Ovis aries: one gene and its partner. The protein of the gene in region 1 interacts with the protein of each later gene in a pairwise test. Links are inferred from orthologs where the notes say so. Each region holds a gene or a part of one and is shown on either strand. Other genes may lie near its edges.

Region 1 (8,441 bases):
CGCACCTCTTCCGGGGTCGGCGTCGGCGTGGCGCTGCGGGGGGCATTTGGGCATCAGCCGGCTGCGTCAGGCTCCGCCCCCACCCGCGCAGAACCCCCGGGCCAGACTCACCAGACTTCGCAACTGGGGAGGGGCTGTAGCCTGCTCTCCCGGGAGGCTCGCCAGGCCCGCCGACGTTCTTCGTTCCTGCGGGCAGAGGGGAAGGTGGCACTGCCCTCCAGGCACACGTATGCATGCAGGACACTCCGCACACAGGTGTTAGAACGGGCAGGAGGCCTCGAGGTTCTCAACACACGGATGAACCCGTCGCAGGTGGGTCCGCTTTCCCAGCCTTTGGTCCTGCCCTGGGACATCTTCTTGCCTTCAGGGCTTCACAGGCCCCAGGTGTCTGCCTCCCTCCCTCCCTGGCCTGACCTAGACCCTCGCTGCTTTTTCCTACAGACCCCACTGATGTGGTGAAGGCCCAGCCTGTGTGTCTGACCCCTGACTCTCCCCAGGGGATCTGCTTCCCTCCTTAGCTCTGGGCGCAGCATCGGTGATGGCTTCCAAGTCCACACCTCCAGCCAGACCTCTCACCAGGGTCACTGACACGGTTAAGGACATCTGAGACTCAGGGTTTGGGCAGAACTCAGTTCCCTCCTTACCCCACCTTTTAGATGCGAACTCCTCTCCTGGTCCCTACAGGCAAAGGCTAAGCGGGTCCTAACAGTTCATGGCCTCCCATCCCTAACCCCAGGCAGTTTCTCTGTTTCAGGCCTGGGCTCAGGTCTCAGTTGTTCACTGGTCAGCTGATCCCCACTTGGGTCCCCTCAGCGCTGTCTACTCAACAGCCAAGGACTGAGAACCTGCAAAGGGCCATATGCCTCTGCAATGTACAAAACCGCCAACAGGTTCCCTATGTGCCTAGAAACTAGTTCACCCCCCGAGGCCCAGTGCCTTCCCCCACCCACCAACTGTCCCAGGGCCAGGTCTCTGCTCAAAGCCCCTCCACCTGATGCTGTCTGTAGGACCTGCTTTTGTCTTGTTCTGTTTTAGTTCCCAGGGCCAGTCTGGGCGAGCTTACAGAGACAAGACAGACATACACACCACCCTAGCTTACAGCAGAGATGCACACACATGTGCACGCTAGGTGCCTGCATGTTGCAGTAGACACACACACACCCCTAGTTTAAGTAGACACACATACACAGCTAGCTTACAGTAGATACACACACACACACATGCTTGCACGCCAGGTGCCTGTATGTGGATACCACCTGCACTGACCACTAGTCACCAAGCCCCTGGATAAGTACTGTGGGTGGCAGGGGTACCCTACTTGGAGGTGATGCCTCAAAAGCCTCCTAAGGGCTAAGGACCAGGGTCCTGGATCCTAGGTCTGCTCAGTGTCCACTCCCCACCAGGCATATCAAGCATCCCCAGGCCCACGTACCAAGAGCAGCTGCAACAACAGCACCAGCACAAGCAGCAGGGGTTTCGCCTGGGGGGAGCCGAGGGGGCCGCATCATGACTGGACATCGAGGGGGGCTGGTCCGCCTCCTCTGGCCCTGTTTGCTGGGGGAAGACAGGGCTGCCTCAGCCTCCAGGCAAAGCCCATGGTTACCACCCGCTTTCCAGCCCCAACTGCCCACCGGAGGCCATGCTCCCTCCCAGGGCTATGACCCTTGTGGCCTCCCAGATGTCCATGGGTCTCTGAACTCCTAGTCATGCCCTTAGCCCCCCACCCCCCAAGGGGCAGCGGCCAGGGTGGAGGCAGCCCACCTGCTTCTCAGCCTCAGGTGGGGTGGGCATGGATGGGTGGAGGAGGTTGCCAGGGCTCCGTGGTGCCTATTCCAGGACACCTGTTTCTGTCACCACAGCCTGGGGGTCTGAGAAGAGAGGCCGGGGTTCTCACTGAGAACCTTACACCCGCCCTGGCCGGCACCCTGCCAGGCATTCTGAGTCTCTCCCTACCTGCCTCCCTGGCCTCCCACCTCCACGGACTCTCCTCCGCCTCCCACCTCCCACCTCTAGACTACTCTGCCCAGGCCCAACCCCCACTCTAGTCTACACAGAAGATGTGAGGGGATGGGGATCAGGAAGGAGGAGACCCCAGACAAGCTCTCCACAGGAGGTTCTGGGACACCCCCATCTGCTCCCTCCCTGGGAAGCCGGAAGCAGGGGTTCCTCTTTCTTGGTTTCCGGCTCCTGGCCCCTCCCAGGGGGCTGCAGGCCCCCAGAGTCTGAGTCTGAGTCTGAGGCTCTCAGGGGTGGTGGTAGACATTCAGAACCTCCCTCCCAGGTTTTCCAGGGGATGGGTGGTGGGAGGTGGGGAGGCTGCTTCCCACCAGGAGTTCAGAAGGGCTGCGGGGCCTTGGAGGCCCCCCGCCTACTCCCAGGGACTCCGCAGAGGGAGCAGACCAGGCCTGTGGCACGGAGCACTGGAGTAGGGCTTGGGGCTGAGGCAGGGCGTCCTGAAGGTGCGGGCAGTGCAGCAGGCACAGCCGCCTTCTCAGCCCGGACGCTGGCTCCGCACCCAACCTTCGACTGGCACCTCCGGGTCTCCCAGCCTCCTTTCCCCTCCCCACCCCCAGGCTACGGAAACCGCTGCGGCCCCAGGCCTTGCCGCAGGCGGGCGGTGGCGCGTCTTGCTCCCGGGCGGGTAGGAGCCGCGGGGTCCCTTCCGCTCGGAGCGGCATCGGGGCGAACCTTCCCCTTCTGCAGTGCGGGCGTGCGGAGGGTGCTCAGTCCCACCCGGATGAGCGGCCCCTGTTGGGAACGCAGGGACCGAGGGCGGCCAATCAGGCTCCAGGAGGCAGTTTTGAACGCCTTCCCACCTGCCCTCACCCCACCCCCACCTCGGCCCAGGTGAGGCATCCCGCCCCCTTCCCCGGGGTAGGGGCGGCCCCTGGCGCGTCTGGGGCGCGGACCTTCTGAAACCCCGCCGCGAGAGACTCACGACTTGGTTTCACTTTATTTTCTCATTAAATGAACATTCTCTCAGTTGCTGCCTCCCCCCCCCCCCACGCCCCCCATTCCTCAGCTTTGGCTTTTCAGTGCCTGTTTGGTTCAGTTGGCCTCTTGGGGTCTGCGATGGCAGGAGAGGAAAACGATGTTGCAGGACGGGCCCCAGGACGGTCGCAGGCTGGGCAACCCCGGCGTCCCATCTCCTGGCCAGGTGCTGGTGCCCAGGGATGACAGCCCGAGACATGCACGCTGAGGGCACCCCTGTCTCCAGAGTCTGAGCATGCAGAGGCCCCTGCCCTGACCCGGATCTGGGGGCCAGGTGGAGGGGCCCATGGGGTCTTGGCCCTTGGCTGCCTGCCTGGCTTCCCCTGGAGCATGGGAAGGTGGACCTTCAAGCTTCCAGCAAACAGACAAGATGGGGAAACAGCAGCCCCACAGCTTGCCTTCCCGCAGGGGTCAAGTTTCTAGGGAAAGGAAGGGGTGTGGCAACCTCTGAGGTCTGGTAGCTGTACCCCAGCCGGGCTGTGACTTCCCCAGGCAGAGCGGCTCTTCCTCCTCAGCATCTCCACCCACTGTGAGTGGGGGCAGGGCCCCAATTCCCCCCACCACCACCCCCTAGCTCCCTGAAGATTAAACTCCCTAGGCTGCCTTCTCCAAATCAGCTCTGAACTGGAGGAGGGGACCTGCCTGAGAGTGCTGCGCCCAGGTGCTGGGGGCTGAGTTGTGGCAGAGATGGGGAGAGGCCGCCCCTCTGCCCTGGTTGTAGGCCCTGGACGTTGTCGCCCACCCCTGAACCTGGCTCCCTGCACCATCCCCAGGCCGGCTGGGACCACTTATGCCTCTGGGGCACCTGCTCTCTCTCCTAGTGGGGTTACAGGATCAGAATCAGGGCTCCTGCCCCTCATCCGGGCATGTGGAAGGGGGCTCCTTCCTCTTCCCCAGCCCCATCCAGGCTTTGGCCCCTAAGTCTAGGATGGGAGAAGCTGGACGGGCAGTAAGTCTGGCCTCTGGGGACAGAGGTTCCCTCGGGAGCAGCTGCTGCTCTGCTCCACAGAAGGAAAAAGAACGTCCCCGAGCCCGCCCAGTCCAAAAAAAGAATAAGAAAATGTGACAATCCCAGGAAAAAATGCCATAACCTTTGTGAGGGGGGTTGCCAGAGGGGCTCCATTCTCTTCTCATCCTCCTCAGCACCTTTCCTGTTTGCTTCGCCCCCGGCCCTCCACCACTGGGCTGGTAGGGACGTCCCAGCCTAGCGGCTCCAAGGCAGGCCAATTTTCCTAGCCCTGGTGACCCTCGCCCCAGCCCACCTCTGCAATGGCAGGGGCAACCCACTTCTCTCTCTCCTTCTCTCGGCTAATAGGGTCTGGCCTGGGGAAGTCTGCCCCTTTCTCCGGCCTCTGACGCCCCCACCCTACCCTCAAGGAACTCGCCACGCGCCCCACTCACCAGCGACCCAAAGGCGAGGTGGGGGCGGGAGGGGCCAGGTCGCTCTGGGCCCCACCCTGGCTGCCGAAGGGGCGTGCACTGCAGCAGCAGGACTCAAGTCAGACGGCAGGAGGTCCTCCTGCGCGTTCTGGAGCGAGGCTGGCGCCAGGAGCCCCCGATCAGCTCGGGCCGGGGGCGCAGCGCCTCCCCTCCGACTGGCGGGGATGACTGACTGCCAGATCCAGCGGGGTGGGGGCGGGGGCAGTACGGGTGTCCCGCCTCGGCCCCTCCCCACCAGGCTGAAGGGGGGACGGGAGACGCGGAAACCTGGGTTCTTCCGGCCCCCCCCCCCCACTTTGAGCAATCACTTCCCCAGGCTTTGAGCTGCAGAAAAAGGGGAACCCGCTTGCAACGCCCCCTCCCCCACGCGCGGGGACTGCATCCAGTCCCGCCGCGGCCCAGGGTCCACGTGGACCCCTCGGCGGGAGTCCTTGGGGCGCGGATCTGGGCGCCGGTTACCGAAGCTCCCGCCCCGCACAGCCCACGGGCCCCGGGCCGGAGGGGCAGGGCTGCCGTCCTGGGCGCCGCGCGCGCGCACTCACCGGCCGCGCTCCCGAGCCGCTCGCGCCTCAGCCGCCGGCCCGCGCGTTCCGAGGTCCGGCCGGATCGTCGGGGAGCGGGCGCAGGCTGCAGTGCGCAGGCGCCTCGGCCGCACTTCCCCAAAGCGCGGGGCCGGGACTTCCTCGCGCGGGGAGGTGCCCGGCCCGGCCCGCCCCGCCCGGCGCGCCCCGCCCCGAGCTCTGCCGGCTCCGCGCCCCACCCGCCCCCTCCCCACCGCTCGCGCGCGGCGTCTGGGTCCCCATTGTCGCTGAGTGGCCCGTGGAGATGAGGTGCTGATGCTGGGGCCTCTGGCTCCCGGAGCGGCTGAAGTGGTACTGCGGCAGCTGGGGGTGTGGCCGTGCCTCCAGCTCTTCTCGGCGGGGCCAGTCCAGCGTTGCCGTTACAGGGGTAGGGGGGTGGAAGGGGGCGACTCCGTGGGCTGCTTGCCCCTCTTGAGGAAGGGAGAGGCGGCTGGAAAGGACTGGACCCCGTGGTCACTCCCGAGCCGTCCCTAGGCTCTGGCACGGAGTATCCTTAGCTGTGAAACGCGGTCAAGGGCGTGCTGTCAGTCACCGTGCTGTAGGGCCTTCCCAAGGAAGGCGGTTCCTGGGCTGCGGCGCCACTGGGGCGGGGTGAGGGGTGGGCAATGGTTCTTATATCCGGGGTCGCCAAAGTCCCTGTCCGCGTGGCCGGCTGAGTCCCTTTCAACCCTTCCAGTTGCCCCAAAATGTTCTAAAGTTTAAAGCCACACTCTCCCCTTTGCCAGGAATGCCTGACTCTTCTCTTTGGCCAAATCTCGTATTTTATGACTCGGTACAGATGTGAGTTAAATTCCTTATCCCAGCATGCTTTGGGCCCGTATTTGGACGGCCCCGACCCTGCTCTGAAAGTGGTCTGCAGAGTGTCTGAGTCCCCTGGCCTCAGAGTGTGTACAGCTCATGTCCCTTGGTCCCTGGGCCTGCTCACAAAATGCCTTCCAGTTGCACAAAGTTGTATATGCTCGCGTTTTTCAGCGCTCTTGGGGATATAAAGGGAAGGGGAGAATTTACATACTGTCTTCATCCTGCAAATGTCTGGGTGTTCTCTACATGTCAGCCTTGGGACCTGGCAGTGGGCAGAACAGACCAGCCATAGAGCAGACAAGAAATGGACTTGCAGACTGGGTGAGAGGTGAGGAGGGCTAAGGAGAACCACAGAGCAGAGAGCGGGTGTTTCAGACCTGCATCTTGCTTGGCAAAGGATAAAACTGGAGCCAGCAGAGAGCTGAGCTGAGCTGGAGAGAGTGCAGGCCAAGGCCAGAGAGGAGGGAGAGGCCCCGAAGGCTGGGGGGCCTCTTATGCTGTGTCCTTGGAGGACTTGGCTGTCATGTTGACAGGCTGGTTGGGCTGGAGCAGAGGCCAGAAGCCTACCCAGATGGGAGGTGGCTGCTTCTTATATAGCCTAGATAACTGTCCCAGGAGGTAAGGCCTTCAAAGATGGGCCAACACTTAGTCCAGGCCAAACAGCCATGCTCATGCTGTGATGCTTGACATGGCATCTCCACCTGCATCCTGAGATGTGTGGGGCAGCTGGATGTGGTGGGGGTAGGCGTATGTCTCTCCTGGGGTAACACTGGGGGTGGGATTTGGACCCAGGACCCTCTGTCTAGAGCATGAGCTCCCAGCCCTGGGGACGCCTCGCCTCCCATCCCAATCCCTTATAGCCTCCAGTCATTGGGTTGTGGCTTGCATGCTTTGCTTTCTCGTAGCAGAAGCCTCCTCCAGGCCCTGCAGCAATGTCCTCGGCTACTTTCCCAGTTATTCTCTCCGGACCAAGGCTGCCTTCATGGTGGGGTGATCAAATTTACCCCCATCCCAGCCCCCACCTGGTGCAGAGCTCAAGGTGAAGGGTGGAGCCTTCACCTGGACGGCTCCTCAGGGCTGTGTGCACCTCTCTCGTCCTCTGCCCTTCAGTGCCTGCCTGTTTAGAGTGACCCCTCTCTTACAGAGCACTCACCTGGGGCCGTGATGCCATGTGAGGTCATTAAGGGTTCCTTTTTAAAGATAAAGAAATGGAGGCTCAGAGGAATGATGAAGTAAAATGTGCTTTGACTAAACAGATGAAATCATTCCAGTGCTTGGCGCTTCCCCCAGAGATGGAATGCTGGGGTTCAGATGCAGGGAGCTTAACCAGGGGAGCCAGGGCCAGCTGGCATCTTGCACGTGTCAGCAGGTAAGTGGCTGTTGCTCTGTCCCATGCCCAAGTCACCCTCTCTCCCTTGTTCCTTATTCTCTCTGCCTACCCACCTGTAGAGAGGTCCCTCCTCTCTCCTGGAGCTTCCAGACTTCAGCTCCACACACAGTTCTGGCTTGGATCAAGGCCAAGGGTGCAACAGCTCAGAACTGGCCAAGTGTCCTGTGTGGGGTTAGGGCTTGCTGGGGACACAGAGGGTTCTGGTCCCCATCCTGAGCCCGGTCAGGGAGGGCAGTGGCTGCCATCGAACAGGACTCCTTGCTGACCCCAGCTCTGGCCTCTGTTGGTAGAGGATGCACCCCTCTAAGACCAGTTCTCTGCTGCAGGTTGGTGACTCTGCTGGAGTCTCCTGGCAGGGGATGGCCTTGTGTGAGATCCCCACCTCTGTGATAACCCGCTGGACTGCTGAGAGGGAGGATAAAGGAGAGCTGGCTAAGAGAAATCCCAGGCTCTGCAAAGAGTCTGTGTTGGGGAGAAAAGTAAATTCTTGAAGGGGAAATCTGTCCAGAAACTAAGGATGTTCTTTGGAATCCAGAGGTTTTGCAGGATATGGGTTTGTCAGAGTGGGACGGGGTGGTGTCCTTCCTGTCCTCTGTATGTGTGTGTGTTCCAGTAAGGGGGAATCAAAGGGGCAAAGAGGGACTCTCAGGATGGAAAGGAAAACGGAGGGTGATTTTCTGTCTGGGTGACTCAATGGACATGAATTTGAGCAAACTCATGGAGATGGTGGAGGACAGAGGAGCCTGGCGTGCTTCAGTCCACAGGGTTGCAAAGAGTCTGACATGACTGAGTGACTCTACAAAAAGAAGCAGAGGTCTGCCTTAAGAGATCTCCCCTTCCCCAGTCTCCCTGTCTTCTGAAGACCCTCCTAGACAGAGCTGACTGTCCAAAGGCCAGCGTTGGCTCTTGCCTAAAGGTCAGCGTTGGTTCTTGCAGTCACTCTCCTTCCCAGAACGTCAGCTTCCTCTCTGACCCTCTGATGGAATGGCCTGTGGTCTAGGAGTCTTGCTTTCTCCCTGAGGTTGCCTTCACTTCTGGGGTTGCAACTCTTGCTCAGCCAGGCTCTTCTTCCTGGCACAGCCAGACTGGAGACCCCCACGAATGCACAGAGCACCAGGTTGCCTGCTGGGAGCAGCATGGGATTTAGGGGGTTAATCTGATGTCCGCCAACTTGCATCTTTCCACTTTGTTAGAGGAGCCGCACCCTGTGTACCCTTATGTCCCGTGACATAGGATGT
Region 2 (3,500 bases), on another chromosome or scaffold:
CGACATCCAGCCCTGGATGGACCCTCCCCGTTCAGCCCACTGAGCCAGGTGCCGCCAGGCGTCCCCGCTGGCAGCCCCCGCCCTCGGCGCCCTCGGTGCCTGGCACTGTGGTGAATGGAGCTCATTCACGCCTGCAGCCCAGCCTCCCCGCCTGAAAAGCTGGGTTCACGGCTCCTGAGAACAAACACCCCAGCCTGGTCCTGCAGCAGGCAACCCGGGGCCCTCCTGGGCCAGGACCTCATGCTGGGCTCCAAGGAGCCGAGCGAGCGCCGGGCCGCCTCCTGGCCACCAGGTGCCCCCCCCCCCCCGCCCCAGGACATCTGGCCTTGTGTCTCCAAGTCAGCACATGATGGCTGCTGCGGGCCCTGGTGCCCAGCACGGGGCCTCTCAGCTTCCCATGGGGGTCCCGTTCTGCCTCCAACCTCTGGAGGAGGGCGGCCGACAGAGCCCCCTTTGCCGGGGGAGCAGCGGGCCTGACACACAGCTGGAGGCTGGCAGAGCAGGATGCTGGCTGCCCAGGGAGGCGGGGGAGGTGTGAGGGGAGCCAGCTTGAGTGGCAGAGGGTGTGGGGATGCTGACGGGCCGGGCTTTCCGGGGCCCCTGGAGGGGCTGTCGGGGTGGGAGGAGGTGCTGGGGGCCCCCACAGACAGGTGGCCAGTGGCCCACACGCCCTGGCCCTCCATGTCCACTCCGCCTCCCCCCCAGAGGCCAGAGACCCCGCGAGCTGGCCAGGGAGGTACCCTCCCTGTGGGGGTGGGCGGGCCCCCGTTCCCTCCTGCCCAGGGCTGGTCAGACCGCACTCCTGTCAACGGGTTCCCACCCCCCACCACTGCAGGGCGGACCAGCAGAGCCCCAAGTGACCCCTCGGCAGGCGGGCTGGACGCAGGAGCCGCCTGTCTCCCCCCACCCCGGTGACCCAGCAGGGCCCAGATGCCTGGACATCCCAACAGCTGTTGCCCCCACCCCGCGCTGGCCCAGCCACCCTGGAGCCCCGCCACACGCAGGGCCCCCTGGCCGCTCGGCCTCCGGTCTCTGGGCTCCGGCACCCGCCCGCAACCAGAGACGTGCTCGGCAAGTGTGTGCTCGGTGATTGGTGAATACGTGCCCCTGGCCGCATCTGTTGTTTATTGTACGTGTGAGATCTGGGGTCGGGAGCACCCTGATTAAGACATCATTCCCGTGAAATGACAGACAGCTCCGCCACTGGTCCTTTCCACGCGGCTTCCGGGAACCCATTAGCGTTCGTTGCCACCCAGTGGCAGGCGGTGTTCCTGGACCACCAGCTACGGGGAGGGCGACTCCATCCTGATCTCAGACATGCTGGGGGCTGGCATCCTGCTTCTGTCTGGGGAAGGATCACCCCCCCAACACACACAATCACCCCCAACACACACACGGTCACCCCCAACACACGATCACCCCTCAACACACACGATCACCCCCCAACACACGATCACCCCCAACACACAATCACCCCCCAACACACACGATCACCCCCCAACACACGATCACCCCCAACACACACACACGATCACCCCCCCAACACACACCCTCCCCAAGACCTGAGACCAGGCTCTTTCTAACAAAAGCACAGGAAGGGTTTGGGAGACCAGCCTCCCAGGTGGAGCGCAAGGCCTGGAGTCTATGTCTCCGTGGTGAGGGGGTGGCGGGGAGGGGTGCCTTGTCAGCCCTGATACCATCGGACCCTGTACGTCCGAGAGGGCCAGGCCTCTGGGAGATGAGGGCGGCCCCGGGCACCCCCACCCTGGGGCCAGCAGCTCTGCACACTGCCCCGGAGGGTCAGCGAGCCCGGGGGCCTTGGAGAACATTTCTGGCCCCTCCCGGCCTCGGTTTCTTCATCCGCAGAATGGGGATGATAAGGTCGAGGGCGGTCAGCAGGGCATCCCTGTTCATTGCGCATGCTCAGAACAGTCCTTCACCCAACAGCTCAGCTCTAGACTGGCCCTGCCCTTGGGACACTCACCTTGTGCATCTTAAAACACAGGGCAGCTCGCCACCCGCAGGTGTCCCTTTAGGAGCAAGGAGATCAGTTGTGGGGGGCAGGGGGGAGCAGGTGAAGGCCCTGGGCTCCTCCAGAGCCCGCAGGCTGCACGCATATCCTTGGTTCTCTTGGGGGGGTGGAAGGGGCCCCCTGGGCCACACTGCAGTCACGGGGGCTCCGGGGGGCCGTCCTCACCTCCTCGGGGGCGGCGGAGGGCTCCTGTGTGTGGGGCACCAGGTGAGCACTCAGCCACCAGGGGCTGGGCTGGCCCAGCTCCGCCCTGGCACCTTTTAGGAACAGAGGCCTCCTGCACGTTGAGACTCTGTGAGGCCTGACGCCTGGCGGGATGGAGGCTCCCTACCGGCCCACCCTCGGCAGGCAGGGCTGACCACATGCTCGCTGCAGGGGGCTGTGGCATGGACGGTCTTCCGTGGGAGGCAGGGGCTGGCCTGTGGCGGGGGTGGGGGGGTTCCCCTGCCGGCAGCCCTGAAGGTGCGTGGGGTCCGCGGCCCCTGGGGGGGCCCGGCTGTGCTGACCGCCCCCGCCCCTCCCCCCAGAGCCGGATGGCCGAGAGCCTGCGCCTCTTCGACTCCATCTGCAACAACAACTGGTTTGTCAGCACGTCCCTCATCCTCTTCCTGAACAAGAAGGACCTGCTGGCGCAGAAGATCCGCCGCACCCCGCTGACCGTGTGCTTCCCCGAGTACAGCGGCCAGAACACCTACGAGGAGGCCGCCGTCTACATCCAGCGGCAGTTCGAGGACCTGAACCGCAACAAGGAGACAAAGGAGATCTACTCACACTTCACCTGCGCCACGGACACCAGCAACATCCAGTTCGTGTTCGACGCCGTGACCGACGTCATCATCCAGAACAACCTCAAGTACATCGGCCTCTGCTGAGGGGCCGGCGGGGCCCAGCCCGGGGCGGAAGGCGGGGGCGGAACGCGTCCCCAGCCCGCCCCCTCAGCCCCCGAGGCTCTGCAAACACGACTGTATACGGATAGGTTGCTAGGTAGGTAGACACACTTGGGCGTGCACACACACACGCGCACACACACACTCCCCGCAGACGGGCAGGCTCCCCGCCCGGCCGAGGTCCGTGAAGGCTTGAGGAGCTGTCGCCAAGTCCGCCCCCCAGTCCCCAGACCCTCCTGCCAAGTCACTCTGCCTTCCCGACGCGGCCCCGCTCCGCGCGGGGGGACCACAGGGCCGGGCGGCCGGCTCCCCGGGAGGAGACCCAGGGCCGGAGCCATGCCACCCCCACCGGCACACGCGGGCACCGGGCACCAGGCCGGCCACAGCACTGACTGGCCCTCCAGCCACTCACCGCCCTTTCAGACGCGCTTGGGGGACACGCAGCAAGCCGCACGGTGACCCACGTGGCGCGGCCCGCTGGGTTCCCGCTTTTCTCCTACGAGTTGGACGTTTTATAAAACCGAACCCTGGTTTTTTTCCTCTGATATCCTTTGTTTTTCGGAGTGGGGGGCAAATCTCCT

Evidence for each region.
Region 2: the proteins of RGS19 (region 1) and GNAZ interact in a two-hybrid assay, tested with the Homo sapiens proteins (2 studies listed by BioGRID). The link is inferred for Ovis aries from reciprocal best matches to the Homo sapiens genes RGS19 and GNAZ.

Annotation. Positions count from the first base shown.
Region 1 is NC_056066.1:53,493,917-53,502,357, reverse strand, and holds the start of RGS19 (regulator of G-protein signaling 19), read right to left. Parts: upstream 5,061-8,441; 5' UTR 4,393-5,060; intron 2,749-4,392; 5' UTR 2,606-2,748; intron 1,869-2,605; 5' UTR 1,792-1,868; coding exon 1,762-1,791; intron 1,555-1,761; coding exon 1,433-1,554; intron 187-1,432; coding exon 112-186; intron 34-111; coding exon 1-33. UniProt on the Homo sapiens protein: Inhibits signal transduction by increasing the GTPase activity of G protein alpha subunits thereby driving them into their inactive GDP-bound form. Binds to G-alpha subfamily 1 members, with the order G(i)a3 > G(i)a1 > G(o)a >> G(z)a/G(i)a2.
Region 2 is NC_056070.1:71,869,400-71,872,899, reverse strand, and holds part of GNAZ (guanine nucleotide-binding protein G(z) subunit alpha), read left to right. Parts: intron 1-2,559; coding exon 2,560-2,904; 3' UTR 2,905-3,500. UniProt on the Homo sapiens protein: Guanine nucleotide-binding proteins (G proteins) are involved as modulators or transducers in various transmembrane signaling systems.